Struthio camelus: one gene and its partner. The protein of the gene in region 1 purifies or fractionates together with the protein of each later gene. This does not show direct contact. Links are inferred from orthologs where the notes say so. Each region holds a gene or a part of one and is shown on either strand. Other genes may lie near its edges.

Region 1 (7,408 bases):
TTGGCCCAAGAGAGAACATCCTCAGCCAGGGAGATTTATGAAGATCTGCTTTACATTGGCAGAGGAAGGCCTGACAAGGGGAAGTTTTACTTGACAATCCTGTTCACTATTTCATTCTCTGAGGGACCTGTCCGGTTTACTTTGGGTAAGCCACTTGATCTGAGGGCTTGCTTTCCCAGCACAATACTCTGTGCACATAACACTCCAAACCAATGGCATTAACAACTTCTTTAACAGACAGGCTGTGTTTGTTTACTTGCTCTTAAGGTTTTTAAATTCAAACACTTGGCCCAACAGGAGTTCAACTAGAGCAGGAATGCAAGTTAAGTATATGGCCTTTCAAGAATCCCTAAGGAGAAATGTTGGGTGTGTGCTGGGGGCGGGGGTGAGTAGAGAGAGCTGTGGGAGAGCTCAGACCATGTAAAAATACTTCTTCAAATCAACAGCAATTACCCTGAGATGTGGGAAGTGCACATCTTTATATTACACTGTGAGCCACCATCTGCACCACACATCACAGATTTGTTTTTTGTCATCTCATCTTACCCTGCAAGTAGTGAATAGGGCAACTGCGTCTGTTTTATCTGCAGAGAGATTTCTGTCATCCTGAGCGCGCCAGGCCTGCTAGGGCACTGCTTATAGTTTTAAATAATATGTTAGTTTACACAGTAATAAACAAACTGCCAACCCTGCTGCCTCCTTTCCTCCAGAAATAACAAATCTAACCCTCACCTCACTGCAAAACACAAATGATTAGGCTGACTGGCTTGCATGATGCATTGAGGCAAATGTTTCCTGTTGTCCAGCTTTGCAATTGATATCTTGGCAAATATTTCTACTGCACTTGATAATCCCTACACTTGCAAACTGATTCAGTTAACTCAATGGCAGCAGTGGAGGTCAAGATGTGTAGTAAATTCTTACCAAAAGTCAAGTAAGGAGATGCTCAGGGTGTAGAGTAACTGCCAGCAGGTTTTTATTTAGGATGTTTCTTTGGGGAGCTGATGTGAGAAAGGACACTTTAAATAAACTGCCTAGCTTTTTGTAATATAGAAGTCGCTTTACATGTAAACAAGTTCAAACTCTGGAGATTATTGTGAAAGACGGTAGCAAACAGCAATATTCTTTAGCATTTTGGTCATGTTAACTTTTTCACACCACAAATTGCAAGACGTAAACATAAAAAGTCGAGCTAAAAGCCTGCCCCTACAAAGAAGCAAAATGTCATCATTAGAATAGCTGTATCTCTGTGGTTTGCTAATTGCACATTTCTGCCTTATTGTTTTCCTGTGCTGGGTGACTGAAATACAGAAGAAAAGGAAGAACCACAAATGTATGGTCTTAATCAAAGTTACAAAAGTGATTTCACTTTCCTGAATTCAATAAATTTGCAACACTAGTGCCGCTGGCCACAGAAAAGGTTTAGATAGAGAAAGAACAAAGGCGGCCTTTAACATAATTTTTTCCTTCAAGTAAAAACCATTGAGGAAAGAAGAATAAAAAATGCAGCGTGCAGTTCGAAGACTTCTGCACTGCTTCAAGGGCATCCTTCCTCGGGTGGCGAATGTCTGTGGAACATCTCTGTGGACTGAGATTGTAAAATTTTCAGAAGACAAGATCTGGGTTTCTTTCACTGGCACCACACTGATGTCTAATTTAGGCAAAATGTTCATTAATTTAAAATACCCTGACATAAACTTGTAGATTGGTCCTATGCAATTGCAAAGTCAGACACTTCTCAGAAATTCTAACTCGTCTGTATTATCAAAAAAAGCAGAACACACAGCAGTAGTGTGGCAAATAGGCTTGTCATGCACTTTTGATAAAGTCGAAGTTTACCTAGAAATAGGGGGGAAAATAGGAATGTTGTTCCAAATTCAGGAGCATTGATTTATGTAGGTAAGACAGCATCTGTCACTTAAGCATAGTTAATAACAGGTTTTCTCAGAAGCGCTCAGAAACTCTATCACTAATTGCCAAAATAAAGCCATAGCCTGAATTACAGTACTGTTCAGAGAAGTCTCAGGCAGGCAGGAAGGCCTCCTGGTGTGAATGGCATGTGCAAAAAGTGAACAAGGCTGAAATTGTAAGCTTAGTTTCATCTTTCAGATTAGAACGTATTATTCATGACAATAGCATTTTCCTCTCCACTCAAAGCAGGAATATTCACCAGTATTAATATCAGATTTGAACAAAGATTGAACTATTAACTATTATTAAGGACTCGAATGTCATTTTTTTTGCACTGAGTGATAATATATCCTCAAGTGCTTGTGTCCTTCCCCCTCCTTTTCTCCTTCTAGCCTCCTTGTCTGTTTCTTCGAAACTTTTATTTCTACTCTCCCCCATCTTCTCTCTGCAGCATTTCAGTTTCTACCCTTTCTCTACTTCCTTGCATAATATGACATTGTCAACATTAAACTGCCATTTCAGCTTCTGTTTTTAAGACATTAGCAGGGTCAACAAAGTTCGCACCTCTGAAAACCATTTTCTCATACTGTCTGTAGATTCAGGGTTTATGCATAAGACATTTTACTGCATTATTGTACTGCTGTATAGCGGGATAATTGCCCATGATCTTGTGTGTCATAGGAGACACATATATAAACACATAGTAGGTTTCCATCTGAGGAGGCTACGTATTTGCTGTTCCTGCTGCATATACACATTGTAATAGATAGGTCCTATCCCAAAGAGCTTAGTGTTGCAGATGGCTTGAACTCAACTCATCTAAATGCTTGTCTAGACAAATGTGCTTTTAAAATTGAGTTAACAACTCCTAGCATGGACACAGTCTAATCCCAGTAAATTGTGTTAGCTAGCCTCATTAAAAACCAAGCTCATTTTAACCAGATAATATGCATTAAAATACAATTTGCACTAGGTACACCGGGGTTCTAAAATGTGTAACCTAACATGAATTGTTTTCAAAAAGTACCTACTTTGTAGTTTAGACTAGACATATCCATCCATCTTGATGGGTTAAACTGATTTATTTTTCAATAACGTTGGTTCAATTGAGTTAACAAGATCAAAAGCTCTCAACACTCAGTAAGTTGCAGGCTAACACGTTTGAAGCCATATTACCTGGCTGTCCTTTAAGATGTAAGTGGACGCTAAGCCCAGGTTTCGACTTGAAGAGCTGGGTGCGTACTTAAGGCAAGGTGCCCTTTTTCTACCAGCCGTACCACAGCTACTCAACTATCATCCCACTCAACGCTAACCCAGAAATTAGGCCAAGAAGTCACCTTCCTGCATCGTCAAACCTACGCAGCTTGCCTTGGCCTCTGAACGTGCGGCGCCGGGCCTGGGGAGGGCAGCGGGCGCGCGGGCAGGCCTCGCTCGCTGCCCAGGCGCCGGAGGCAGCACGGGGCGGCCGTCGCGGCTGCCGGTGCTGGGCACAACGAGGCACACAACGAGGCCGCAGCGCCGCAGGCCGCGGGGTTGACAGTTCTTGCTGAACACTGCATATCTGTTCCCTAATCAACCGCTATCAAAAGCACCTTTGAGGCTACAAAGCCGCAAGCACCCTATTATAGTAATCCCCAGCGGAGGGCTGCCCCACACTGCTTTGCTTGGTGCGTGGTGGATGGCGAGGCCACGTTAATCCGGGGTTGCCCGTGCTGCGGCCGCGCTCGCGGTGTGCCAGCAGCAGGGCCCGGGCCGCCGCCCTGAAGGGACACAGGCCCCGCCGCCTCCGCCGCCCCGCTCGCTGCCCCCTCGGCCCGGCGCGGCCCCGCCGCCTCGCCCCGGCAGCCGCCGGCCCGGCCCGGCGGGGACAGCCCGGCGGAGGCGCCGCGGCGCGGTCGCGGCTGCCGGGCCCCGCCGCCGGCTCGGCGGGCGGAGAGGGCCGCCTCCTCCCGGCCGCGGCGCGGGGCTCCCCTGCCCGCCCAGGCTCCGCCTCCTCCTTTCTCTCAGCGCTTCTCCGCACCCCTCCCTCCCCGCCTCCCTCCCCGCCTCCCTCCCCGCCTCCCTCCGTGCCCGCACCCCCGCGCCGGACTTTCCTTTCACTCCTCCATCTCCCCTCCGCACTTTTCTCCCCCCCCCCCCGCCTCCCCGCCTCTCCTCCCTCCGTGCCCCTTCCCCGCTTCATTCCCCCGGCGCGTCTCGCTGTGGCCGGGGGAGCCCGGGGAAGGGGGGACGGGACGGGGCTATGAGCCGCGCGGCGGCTGCGGGGAGCCGAGCAGCTGCCGCGGGCACCACGTAGGGCGCCTTCGCGGGCGGGGCCGTCCCGTTGCCCGTCCCGCTGCCCTCGGCGGCCGCCCGGGCGCGGGGCGGGAGCCCCTGGAGCCGGGGAGGTCTCCCGCCTGCCCGCGGGGGCGGCGGCGCTCGGCGCGCGGCGGCAGGGGTGTCCGTTGGCCGGCGAGGCGCGGGGGGGGGCGGGAGCGGCGTGTGCCGTCGGGCCGCGGGCGCCCCGGGGCGGGGGCGGCGAGCCGGAGGGGCGCCCGCGTGTGTGACATGATCGACTCGCAGGCGGCCGAGAAGATCAGCAGGATGAAAAAGTTGCGGAGAACTTTATCGGAGAGCTTCAGCCGAATCGGTGAGTCCCGGCGGCGCCGGCCGTTGGCCCGCGCCGGCCGCTGGCGCTGCCCGTTGGCCTGAGGGGCCGCCGGGGGCGGCGGCGCGGCGAGGGGGCCGGGCGGGTCGCGGGCTGCGTGGCGGGCTGTCCCGCCTCGCTGCCCGTCCTCCCCGCTGCCCCGGCATCTCTCCCCGCCGTTTGGTTACCTGCGCAGGTATCTTGACTCCGCCGAGCAGTCTGGACCGAAAGACGGGGCTGTATGAGAAAAGGCTCTCTCTGCTTCTCGCCTGCCCATTATTTGTGTAGTGGCATGGTGGTATCCTATGCGTTGCAGAGGTGGAAACAACCGTGCTGTGCCAGGCTTTTCAAACGCTTCTTGTGAATGATGTTTGGAAAATAGCAAATATTTCCCGGCAATGTGTGCAACCCAGAGAGTACAGCATGCATCTGTAGTTGAACTGGCTTAAAATAGGCTAGAAAAAAACAAAGTAAAAATGAGAATTGTCCAGCCTGTCTCCATTGCCAAAGTGAAACCTTGACAAAAATATGGAAAAGCAAATTATTATTTTTGTTTTGATCTAGGTCTAGTTTTTTTTTGGTCAGGCTGCACATTCTTTTAAGTTGAGGCATGAGATGCTGAAGCAGATAACAGCGGATCAGTGATTTAGGAGGCTAGACAAAAGAAGCCTGTCTGTCATCTCCTGCTAAGTCCTGTCATTCTTTCAGTGACATAAAGCATGCTGAGAGAGTGTTATCCGAACAGGGTCCTGCTGAGCACGTCATCCCCTCATGCCACTGCATTGCGTTCGAGTTTGACACCAGTTTATTTTGCCTTAGGATTTGTTACTGAGAACAATGCCAAAGAGTCCTGGTACGCTTCAACTGATGTTTCCCTCGGTCTTTGGCACAGTGTCTTGCTTAGCTCTGTGTTCAGCGTGCTTGATCCCACTGATGGTGCAGCCATGCTGCTGAGCAGGGAGCCCCTCCACAGCACCTAGCCGGAAAAGGGCCCATCCCCAGCCCTGTCAGCTCCCTCCCTCTTGTCCCGCCAGAGCTTTTCCCTTGCAGTCATCTTGGGGATGGCGTTCTAGCCTCAGAGCTGCTTTGTGCTGGCGAGGGGAAGTGAAGTGCCTGTGCTGCAGTAATGAGCTGTGGCATGTGGTATTTTCTTGACGGTCTCATCAGGAAGGTGTGTTGAAGTACATGGGCGTTATAATTTTTCATGTGTTTGCTTATGCGATCAATGTATTACTTTAGCTTTTAATAACTTGTTCATATTTATAAAATAGAAGAAGAAATTATTTCAAGGGTATATGCCAAGTTTCAGTTCAGAAGTGAATATTAAGTCACAATTATATGTCCCTCCGTCCCCATGTGAAGATAGCTTTCAGCTGTAATCAATCTTAAGCTTGTAAAATGCATTTAATTATTTTTGATTAAAAAAAAAGAAAAAAGGGCAGCCAGGTATTTGGTCTGCTCTGTCACATGTTTGTGTGTGCATATAGGCACATAGAGACGCTCTTTGTCAATAGAACTATGGGAGGGTTTTACTAATGGTGCCAGTCATTAGCAAAGAAAATCTCTTGAATGAAGATGCTGCTTTATCATACCGGTGACAGTCCCATTAATGTCTTTTCAGTACCAAGGACTCTCTGCATGATAGTTTCTGCATGGTTTAATTGGCACTGTTGGGTGATCGTCTTTCTTCTTCATTTTCACAAGCTAAGAAACCTTTCAGTTTCCTTGGGAATTTTGGCCTGATTTTAGGGATACATATTGTTATGTTTTCCAGTTACGCTAGTTCGTTGTGTGCACAGCAGTGTAGGATGCGGTTGGTTGGCTGGTTTGTTTGTTTGTTGTGGTTCTTTTGTTATTAAAACTCAGCTGGTACTAGCAAGACTGTTCTGTCTTCAGATGGTCTAATATTTTGGCCATTATGCTGGTAATTGCACTTTGAGCCAAAAAATCTAATTTATCAGTATGGAGCTTGAACAGAGCCACTCCCTTATACCCAGAGCCACACATAAGCCCAACCAAAACAAACCTCTGTTTGAAAAACTCTAACTTGCATACCAGGAAATCCTCAGTTAAAACATGTGCTGTACTTAACTTGCATTTTTTAATGAAGGAGAAAAAACTAAAACCTCATTAGAAAAAAGTTTTAACTGTCTGGCTATTTGTCACTCTGGTTTTACACCTCTTTTAGGTAATGAGGCGTTCCTTGGTGAGATTAGCAAGTTATTACTTTAATATGTAGCTAATCTTGAACTTTCTGTCAATCATCTCTTCGGCTGTGGTTTGTCTATTATAAACAACTTTGTTGATCTTTTAACTTACCTGTTCTGCTGAAGTTTATGTTTTCATAGATTTAAGTACACAGCAGCATTATTGATATAATTGTAAAAACAATATGAGCAACAAAGATGATGTTTGAACCAAGTAAGTAATGAGTCAAACCTTCACATGCTACAGTAGGGAATGTCTAATAATCTTTCTAAGAATGGTAAGCCTTTTCTAGTCGTTCCCCTCACTCTCCTCCGATATTTTTGGTATCTGAGTTGCCAAATACAATTTTTTCCAATGCTATAAGGCCCCCTGATTTGGGTACCAGAGTTTATGTTATCCTGTTTGTTAAGAGCAGTGTAAATGAACCTTAATTATCTTTGGCTGTGTTCTTGTGCTAGGACATGTAACTTAATACTCAATGGACTACCTTCAGGAAAACTTTTTTCCTCACATAGTAGTCTTTTGTATTTTAGACACTGTATCAGCAATGACTTTAAGAAGTGATCATTTTTTTCCCCAGTGTGCAGCAGTATGCTAATTAATGGTTGAAGCTATTTCCCAAAAGAAGAAAAAACCCAAATGCATTATGTATTTCATTTTCAA
Region 2 (7,531 bases), about 11 Mb from region 1:
GAGACAGGACGCACAGGTGCCCTGAGCCGACAAATGAAACAACCAACCAGTAAGTATTTTTTTTTGACAATTATTAAGATTTTAAAAATTATCTGCACCATATGCACACTTCAGGAAGCACAGATGCACTTGCTATTTCCACCCGTATCCTTCCCCCTACCTAGAAGAAAAAGGCACACCAAGAATAAGACACAAAACCCATGCCTCTCTGACCAAAACTAAAATCTGTTCCTACAGACGTAAAAACTCGTACCGTTAGACAAAGATGCATGCTACGATGCTGGAAAACACCAGTGTTTAAGAATTAATCGTTCACGGATCATCAACTGGTTCTTTCACCTCTCCGATTTTCTCTGACCAGACCACTATGTATTTTTTTCCACCTACTGATCCTCCAATCTTTCAGCTGCAGGTAGCAAAGACACCTGAAAGACAACGCTGTTATTTCCAGAACGTATTTAATCAAACGAAACAATCTTAACCCGCGATGGCTCCCTCTGCCGCGATGGATGATACAATTTTGCCAGCGTGAAGGACTGACTTAACGCACAACTCTGTAAAAGGATCACGGTGCCGCAAGCTACGAAGAAAACGCGCGAGGCGAACCGGCGCGGGCCCCGGCCGCTCTGTCCGGCTTTCCACCGGAGACAGCTCACGTAAGCCAATCCACGGGACAGCGGACCTCCTACCAAGCAACGTTTTAAGGACCAAACGCTTCGACTGATGAAAAACTAAGTTGTATGCACACCTTCAACCACATATTCAAAACTACGCTGCGTTCCGACTAGCCAAAACAACAGGACAACTGGTCATTACCAAACCGGCTGGAATATGAGGTTTGGGGGGGTTGTTTGTTTGTTTGTTTGTTTGTTTTCCGCCGGGGATCCCTGCGGAGACGGAGACCCAGCCAGAAAGTATTCACGGCTACTACAGCGCTGCCTCATCATGACGGCGGCGGGGAAGAAAAGCTCCCGGTCGTCACGGGACACGTCTCCCCCACTTTTACTGCTGACTGGGTTTGTCCTTTAAACCCCTGCGCCCCGCCGAGGCCGGCCGGGCGACAGGGGCGTCGCGCAGTACCCGGGGGCGCTGCCCGCCGCCAACGCCTCCCGCCGGGGCCGCGACCCAGGCGCCAACCGCAGGCCGGGGCCGGCGGGGCCTCGGGGCGGGGCGGGCAGCGCCGCCTCAGGCCGCCCCCGGCCGCGGGGCCGCGGGAGGCGCCAGCGCGGAGCTCCGCGTGGCGGCACCACCGGGAGGGGTCAGGGAGCGCCCGCCCGCCCCAGCCCTGCCCTGCCCCGCTCGGCTCGGCGCGGCCCGGCGGGCAGAGCCCCCCCTCGCGGCGGCCGGGGGCTCCCCAGCGCGGCTCCCGCCCGCCCTCACCGTCGATGTTCTCCCGGTCGCTGATGTGCTGCAGGTTGCAGCCCGTGTCCTCCCGGCTCAGCTCGGCCTCGGGGCGGTAGGACTCCAGGCGGGAGTGGGCATTGCGGCGCAGCTTGGGGCTGGAGGACACGCAGCAGGAGGTGGTGTTGCCCATCTTCGCTGCCCGGCGCCGGCCGGCTCGGCAGGAGGCGAGGGGCGGCCGGTCAGCGGCGGCGGCGGGAGGCCATGGGCGGCGGCGGGGACGAGGAGGCGCGGCGGGCGTGGAGGCTGCGGCGCCCTGCGGCTGCGCTCGCCGGCCGAGCCCCGCGCTGGCTCAGGCTCAGGCTCATGCGAGGAGCCCGGCCCCGCAGCGCGGCCCGCCAGGCGACGGCTGCGGCAGCTACGCCCTCCTCGGCGGGCAGGCAGCGCAGGGCCACGCTAAGCACAGCGCCATCGCCGGCGGCGGGGCTGCCGCGCTCCTCCTCCGCCCCCGCGCAGCCGGCTGGGCCCGCTCCCCACGCACGCAGACACACACACACACACACACACGCGGCAGCGCCGCAGCCTGCGCGGCAGCCGCAGCAGCCGCCCCGGGCGGCCTCCGCTAACCGGTTCCGGTTCAAACGGGCGGCAACGCCTCCTGCCGGAGCGGCGGCGGTGCCCGGCTCGGCCGAGGGGGGCTCAGCCCGCAGCCCGCCGCCCCTCAGGGGCCGCCCGCCCGGCCGCGAGACCCAGCCCGCTTCCTCGGAGCGTTTTTAAGCTTTACAGATTTTTTTTTTCTTTGTTTTTGAACGTCACAGAAACACACAGCCTTTTCTTTCCTAAAGGGAATAGCGGGGCTGCTCCCTCGCCCCCAGGGCCGGCGGTGCCGTCGCTTCGTCGCTGCTCTTGGGGCCTGGTGGGGCAAACTCGCCCACTTGGGGTGAAACGCTGGCGTTTCCGTGGCGCGTCGCCTGCCTGCACAGCTCGGGCAGCAGCCGCCCTCCTTTCGCTCCTGCCGCTGAGCCAAGGCCCAAAACCACAGCAGCTGGGAGCGGCCTGATGCACCACGTACCCCAGGGCTGAATAAAAAGCCTGTACGCGACCACCAGGAGGAAATTTTCACTGGCGACTCATCGCTTTGTAAGAACATAACAGTTCTTTAGGAACGTCTTTTAAGAAATCCTTTCAGACTGACAGGGTCAAAGAAAACGGGCTGAAGAGGAGGAAGGGTGCGCACCCAACCTAGCTAGACCCCCTGCCTTCCACTTTCTCTATATTCAGAGCTTTCCCTATCAAAATCCTTTGTTCTGTATCAATGTGGTACTAAAGATGGAGATGGTCTTTGTTTTTTTTTTTAAATCTCCATAATTTCAGCAAACCTTATGACTGCTGGAGGTCTGAGTCACAGCAGTCCAATGATTCCACTGATCTGATAACTGAAAAACACATTTGTATGTTCACTTATGGCCCCACGTCCTGGGAACCACTGATAACAGCAGCTTCGTTGGTCTGCAAGGCATCTCGTGATATCTGGTGTTTTCAGAAGGTCTGCTCAAGTCAGATGATTACATGAAAGACTTCTAAGTTTTCATGCTAAACTGTTTTCCGACCACACATTGCAAAGAAAAAGGTTGTTAATTTGATGCAAATGTACCCAAGCGGGATACAAAAAAAATCCAATTAAAAAAAAATATTTTGAGGATGTGCTTGCGTAACTCATTTTGTGATAACTGCCACAAGCATGTATGTACAATTGTCTCTGAGTTGCGTTGTCCCTTTGCACTTCAGCAACACAAGATGAATAACATTAGATTTACTGTTTTTTGTGTGCTAGTATCCTCAGTGGTTTGCATCCAAACCAAATGAAATTAAACATTTGCTGGCACTTGTTTAGAAATGTTACCTTGTAGGATATAATGTTAACTAGTGCTTTCCATCACTATTTAGGTCATTGCTTCCTGAGGGTATCTCAGGTGCCTCCCTTCAAGCACACTCTGCTCTCCTGTCTCTAGCTGTCACCTGAGAGCCATCAGCCAGCTCTTCTGTTCAGACCAGGCCTTGGTTAAAACTGTGCTTGTCTCAGCAGTGTTGATTAAATCTCAGACAGGCATAGCAGAGATCAGAAAATTTCAAACAAATCTTTAGTCAAATCTTGTGTTTTGTACATATTTCACAATTCTAATAAGCTTTGAGACAAAACAGGCAATAACATAATAATGGAAATGTTAATTGCATATTTAGATAGCAGAACTAAATAAGACATATTCCTTCATTAACAGGGAACAGTTCAGACTTTGTGTATTTAAAGCAAATATTCTAAAAGTAAAGTTTTGTCTAAAAGTTTTGACACTGTCTCCCATCACATCCTCCTAGGTAAGCTCAGGAAGTGTGGGCTAGATGAGTGGCCGGTGAGGTGGCTTGAGAACTGGCTGGATGGCCGAGCTCAGAGGGTTGTGGTGAATGGCGCAGAGTCAAGTTGGAGGCCTGTGGCTAGTGGTGTCCCCCAGGGGTCAGTCCTGGGCCCAGTCTTGTTCAGTGTATTCATCCATGACCTGGAGGAAGGGACAGAGTGCACCCTCAGCAAGTTTGCTGATGATACTAAACTGGGGGGAGTGGCTGACACACCAGAAGACTGTGCTGCCATTCAGAGGGACCTGGAGAGGCTGGAGAGGTGGGCCGAGAGGAACCTCATGAAGTTCAACAAAGGCAAGTGCAAGGTCCTGCACCTAGGCAGGAATAATCCCATGCAGCAGTACAGGCTGGGGGTTGACCTGCTGGAAAGTAGCTCTGCAGAGAAGGACCTGGGAGTGCTGGTGGACAACAAGTGAAGCATGAGGCAGCAGTGTGCCCTTGTGGCCAAGAAGGCCAATGGTCTCCTGGGGTGCATTAGGCAGAGTGTTGCCAGCAGGTGGAGGGAGGTGATCCTGCCCCTCTACTCAGCCCTGGGGAGGCCTCCCCTGGAGTCCTGTGTCCAGTTCTGGGCTCCCCAGTACATGGCACTCCTGGAGAGAGTCCAGCGGAGGGCTACCAAGATGATTAGAGGGCTGGAGCACCTCTCCTATGAAGAAAGACTGCAAGAGCTGGGCCTGTTGAGCCTGGAGAAGAGAAGACTGAGGGGAGATCTGATCAACGTATACAAGTATCTGAAGGGGGAGTGTCAAGAGGATGAGGCCAGCCTCTTCTCCGTGGTGCCCAGCGACAGGACAAGAGGCAACGGGCAGAAACTGAACCACAGGAAGTTCCATCTGAAGCTGAGAAAAAACTTCTTCACTGTGAGGGTGACAGAGCATTGGAACAGGTTGCCCAGAGAGGTAGTGGAGTCTCCTTCGCTGGAGATATTCAAAACCCGCCTGGATGTGATCCTGGGCAATCTGCTCTAGAGGACCCTGCTTGAGCAGGGAGGTTGGATTAGATGATCTCCAGAGGTCCCATCCAACCTAAATGATTCTGTAAACATTTAAAATGTATTTAAATATAAAGCATTTACAATTTGTGACCACCAGTTGTGACCACGTAATCACCATGTAGCTACCTATTTTCCCGCTTGCAACCTTTTTTCCTGAATTTTTAGTAGATCTTTATTCCACCTCCTTTCACCCTAAAAGCTTGCTGAACTGCACTGTAATGACAAAGATGCTACAACACATATTTAAAGATAAGGTTGAAGAAAAGGAACACTGCTCCAGGGTAATGGTCTCCTGAGCTGGTATCTAAGTACAAACATGAAATAAGGGTCAAGAAAGCATGTTTGCTTTCAGTTATGATTACTTTATTTCAGCTATATTAAGTGTATAATGTAAATGTAATTGTATTATTTGCTAAATGTTAGTACAGTAAAGCAAGAACAGTTCACTACCTTTTTGACTTGCTTAAGTGTCATGCATTTCAAAAGATCTTTTGTGTCTTTTGTTGATTACAGACCATTCTATCCTTGAAGTTTAAGATTATGTATTTTCCTGAGTTTATCCTACATCTGAGCAACTTAATGTACCAGCTAAGGAACACCATGAAGCACCTTTAGCTAAGGCTAAGCCTTTGAAGATTGGTCAGTGCTAAGCTACCTGGCTTTACAAAGTGCCTATCCCTGCCCAGTGGTATTTCTTAAATCCAATAGTGTCTCCACTATAGAGAAAATAATGAACTTTAGTAGGTTAAATATTAATGACGCGACACATAGAATTTTGCACTTGAAATCTTCCTGAACATTGTGAAAAAAATGTAAGTGATTCAAACCACCAGATGTAGGTTACTGTTTTGCTTAAATAACAAGATTCTTACCTATTTGGGGTACCAAAATTGTACCCCAATACAAGCATTGTAAATATTATTTAATCTGAAACTACCTTCTATTTGCAAATCAAATAACAAGGGGAACACAGATGAAAAAAAAAAAAATACTTCAAAATAAATGATGGTGACAACCAGATCCTTTGATTCTGATCCAGTCTTCTAGATAGGTACCCTGAGAAATTTCCACTATACACCTTCCCCACACTGCCACCTAATGGTTAATAGGAGCCCTACTAGTGATTTGAGCATAAGTTACTTCTTAAAATCTGGGCAAACCATACTGTCAGATTTATCATAGAGCTAATTATTATAGGAGATTTACAAACTCTTATTTGCAAAAGCTTAAAATGAAAATTCCTATGTACACAGGTAAAAATATTGGCCTTCACAATAACAGAAAGAATTTTGATGTGGTCCACTTTAGAACATGATTTCTGCAGTCCCTTAACGAATATATTTTGTTCCGGCTGTCATACATTAATGTAGATCTCATGTGTAAAAAATGAGGCATTTAAAAAGTAAAGTATGTTATGCCAAAGAAAATGAGAAGAAAGTGAGAGAAAATCATTTTTGTATTGCTGAAAGGCAAATGTATGTCAAAACAACCTGAAGATATGTGTGTTTATGAGTCCTGCTGCGTAGGATAACATGTTGGAAACAAATACTATGGAAAAAATAAATAAAGAGGGATATAGAAAGTACTAACTAGTATCATATTTATCCATTGTTACTACTCCTTTGACTGATACAGAAGGAAAGGTTTTATCCTCTTCGAATAAAGAGTTTAGAAATATGCCCTTTACCATCTTGGCCATGGAGGGCAGCCATCAGCCATCACAGTTAAGCTAAGCTGTGCAATAGATATTTAGCTTGAAAGGTCAAAGACAAATTATCGGAGAAATGTCACTATTAACCACTCTTAAACTCTATAGTCAATATAATCCATTGTTATGTGTTATTTACTTACCATCCAATTGCATGTCCTTTATTTTTCAGTTTTTCAAAATCTCTTCCAAGATCTTGTGTAGTACTGAATCAAACAAATAGATCTGTATTGGCTCTTTTCTTTTTCAAGTATAGGGATTATGTTTGCTCTTCTTCAGATACCACTTCCAAATTTCAGATTCCTTTGAAATCCTTACTATTGAACTTGCAATTTCTCTTCCTTGGTCTTGAGGTATTTTAAGATGTCAAGTGGAAGTTCTGTGGCTACCATTGCTCTTTAGGATGTTCTGCGGGGCGTGGGTGTCCTGAGGCTGGGTAACCCACTCCCGTATGGGCATTTTGTTTTCAGTGTCATGACTAACTAACAGCTTCCCTTCTTCATTCATACTGTGCACAGATTCCCGGTAACATGTGAATTATTTCACAGTGTCCGTATATCTAAATTTTACCTCACTTCGACTGCATTCTTAGGTAGTTTGAAATCTGTGCCTCATCTGGAATTTTTAATCTGCTATAGAGAGGAGGCAAACCTAAAATTCATTTTGCAGGCTCCTTTGCAGCTGACCTGGCAAAGAACTTAAACCATGAGCAAACAGAGCAACTGAAAATAGCATCATATCCCAAAGGCTGGGGGAATGCATCATACTTGATCATGACAAAGTCCTCTATTGTGTTATTCAACAGAAGGCATTCACATATCACATCTTGGACTACACTTAGGATGCCCGCACCTATGGATTTGTATAGACTACTCCAGTGGCAGGCTTCCCCTTTACGGTTTATGGTTTCTTCTAGGACTGAGACTGTCTTCTCTTTGTTTAAAGGAGAAATCCAACGTTTGCCCAAAAAATGTCCTTTCAGCCCTGTCACAAGTTGTCTGAAGTGCACTCTATGCCTACTCCAGCCATTATCCCATCATCAGAGGCATTTGCTGTAGCACTCAGCAAAATTGTCC

The links. Proteins that work in one complex are often made in the same cells at the same time.
Region 2: the proteins of CDK14 (region 1) and CCNY purify together in Homo sapiens (affinity purification with western blotting; 3 studies listed by BioGRID and IntAct, with this or other methods). This does not show direct contact. The link is inferred for Struthio camelus from reciprocal best matches to the Homo sapiens genes CDK14 and CCNY.

What each region holds. Positions count from the first base shown.
Region 1 is NC_090943.1:26,303,558-26,310,965, forward strand, and holds the start of CDK14 (cyclin-dependent kinase 14), read left to right. Parts: upstream 1-4,398; 5' UTR 4,399-4,458; coding exon 4,459-4,540; intron 4,541-5,585; exon of another isoform or gene 5,586-5,708; intron 5,709-7,408. UniProt on the Homo sapiens protein: Serine/threonine-protein kinase involved in the control of the eukaryotic cell cycle, whose activity is controlled by an associated cyclin.
Region 2 is NC_090943.1:15,715,729-15,723,259, forward strand, and holds the start of CCNY (cyclin-Y), read right to left. Parts: upstream 3,009-7,531; 5' UTR 1,535-3,008; coding exon 1,381-1,534; intron 426-1,380; exon of another isoform or gene 254-425; intron 1-253. UniProt on the Homo sapiens protein: Positive regulatory subunit of the cyclin-dependent kinases CDK14/PFTK1 and CDK16.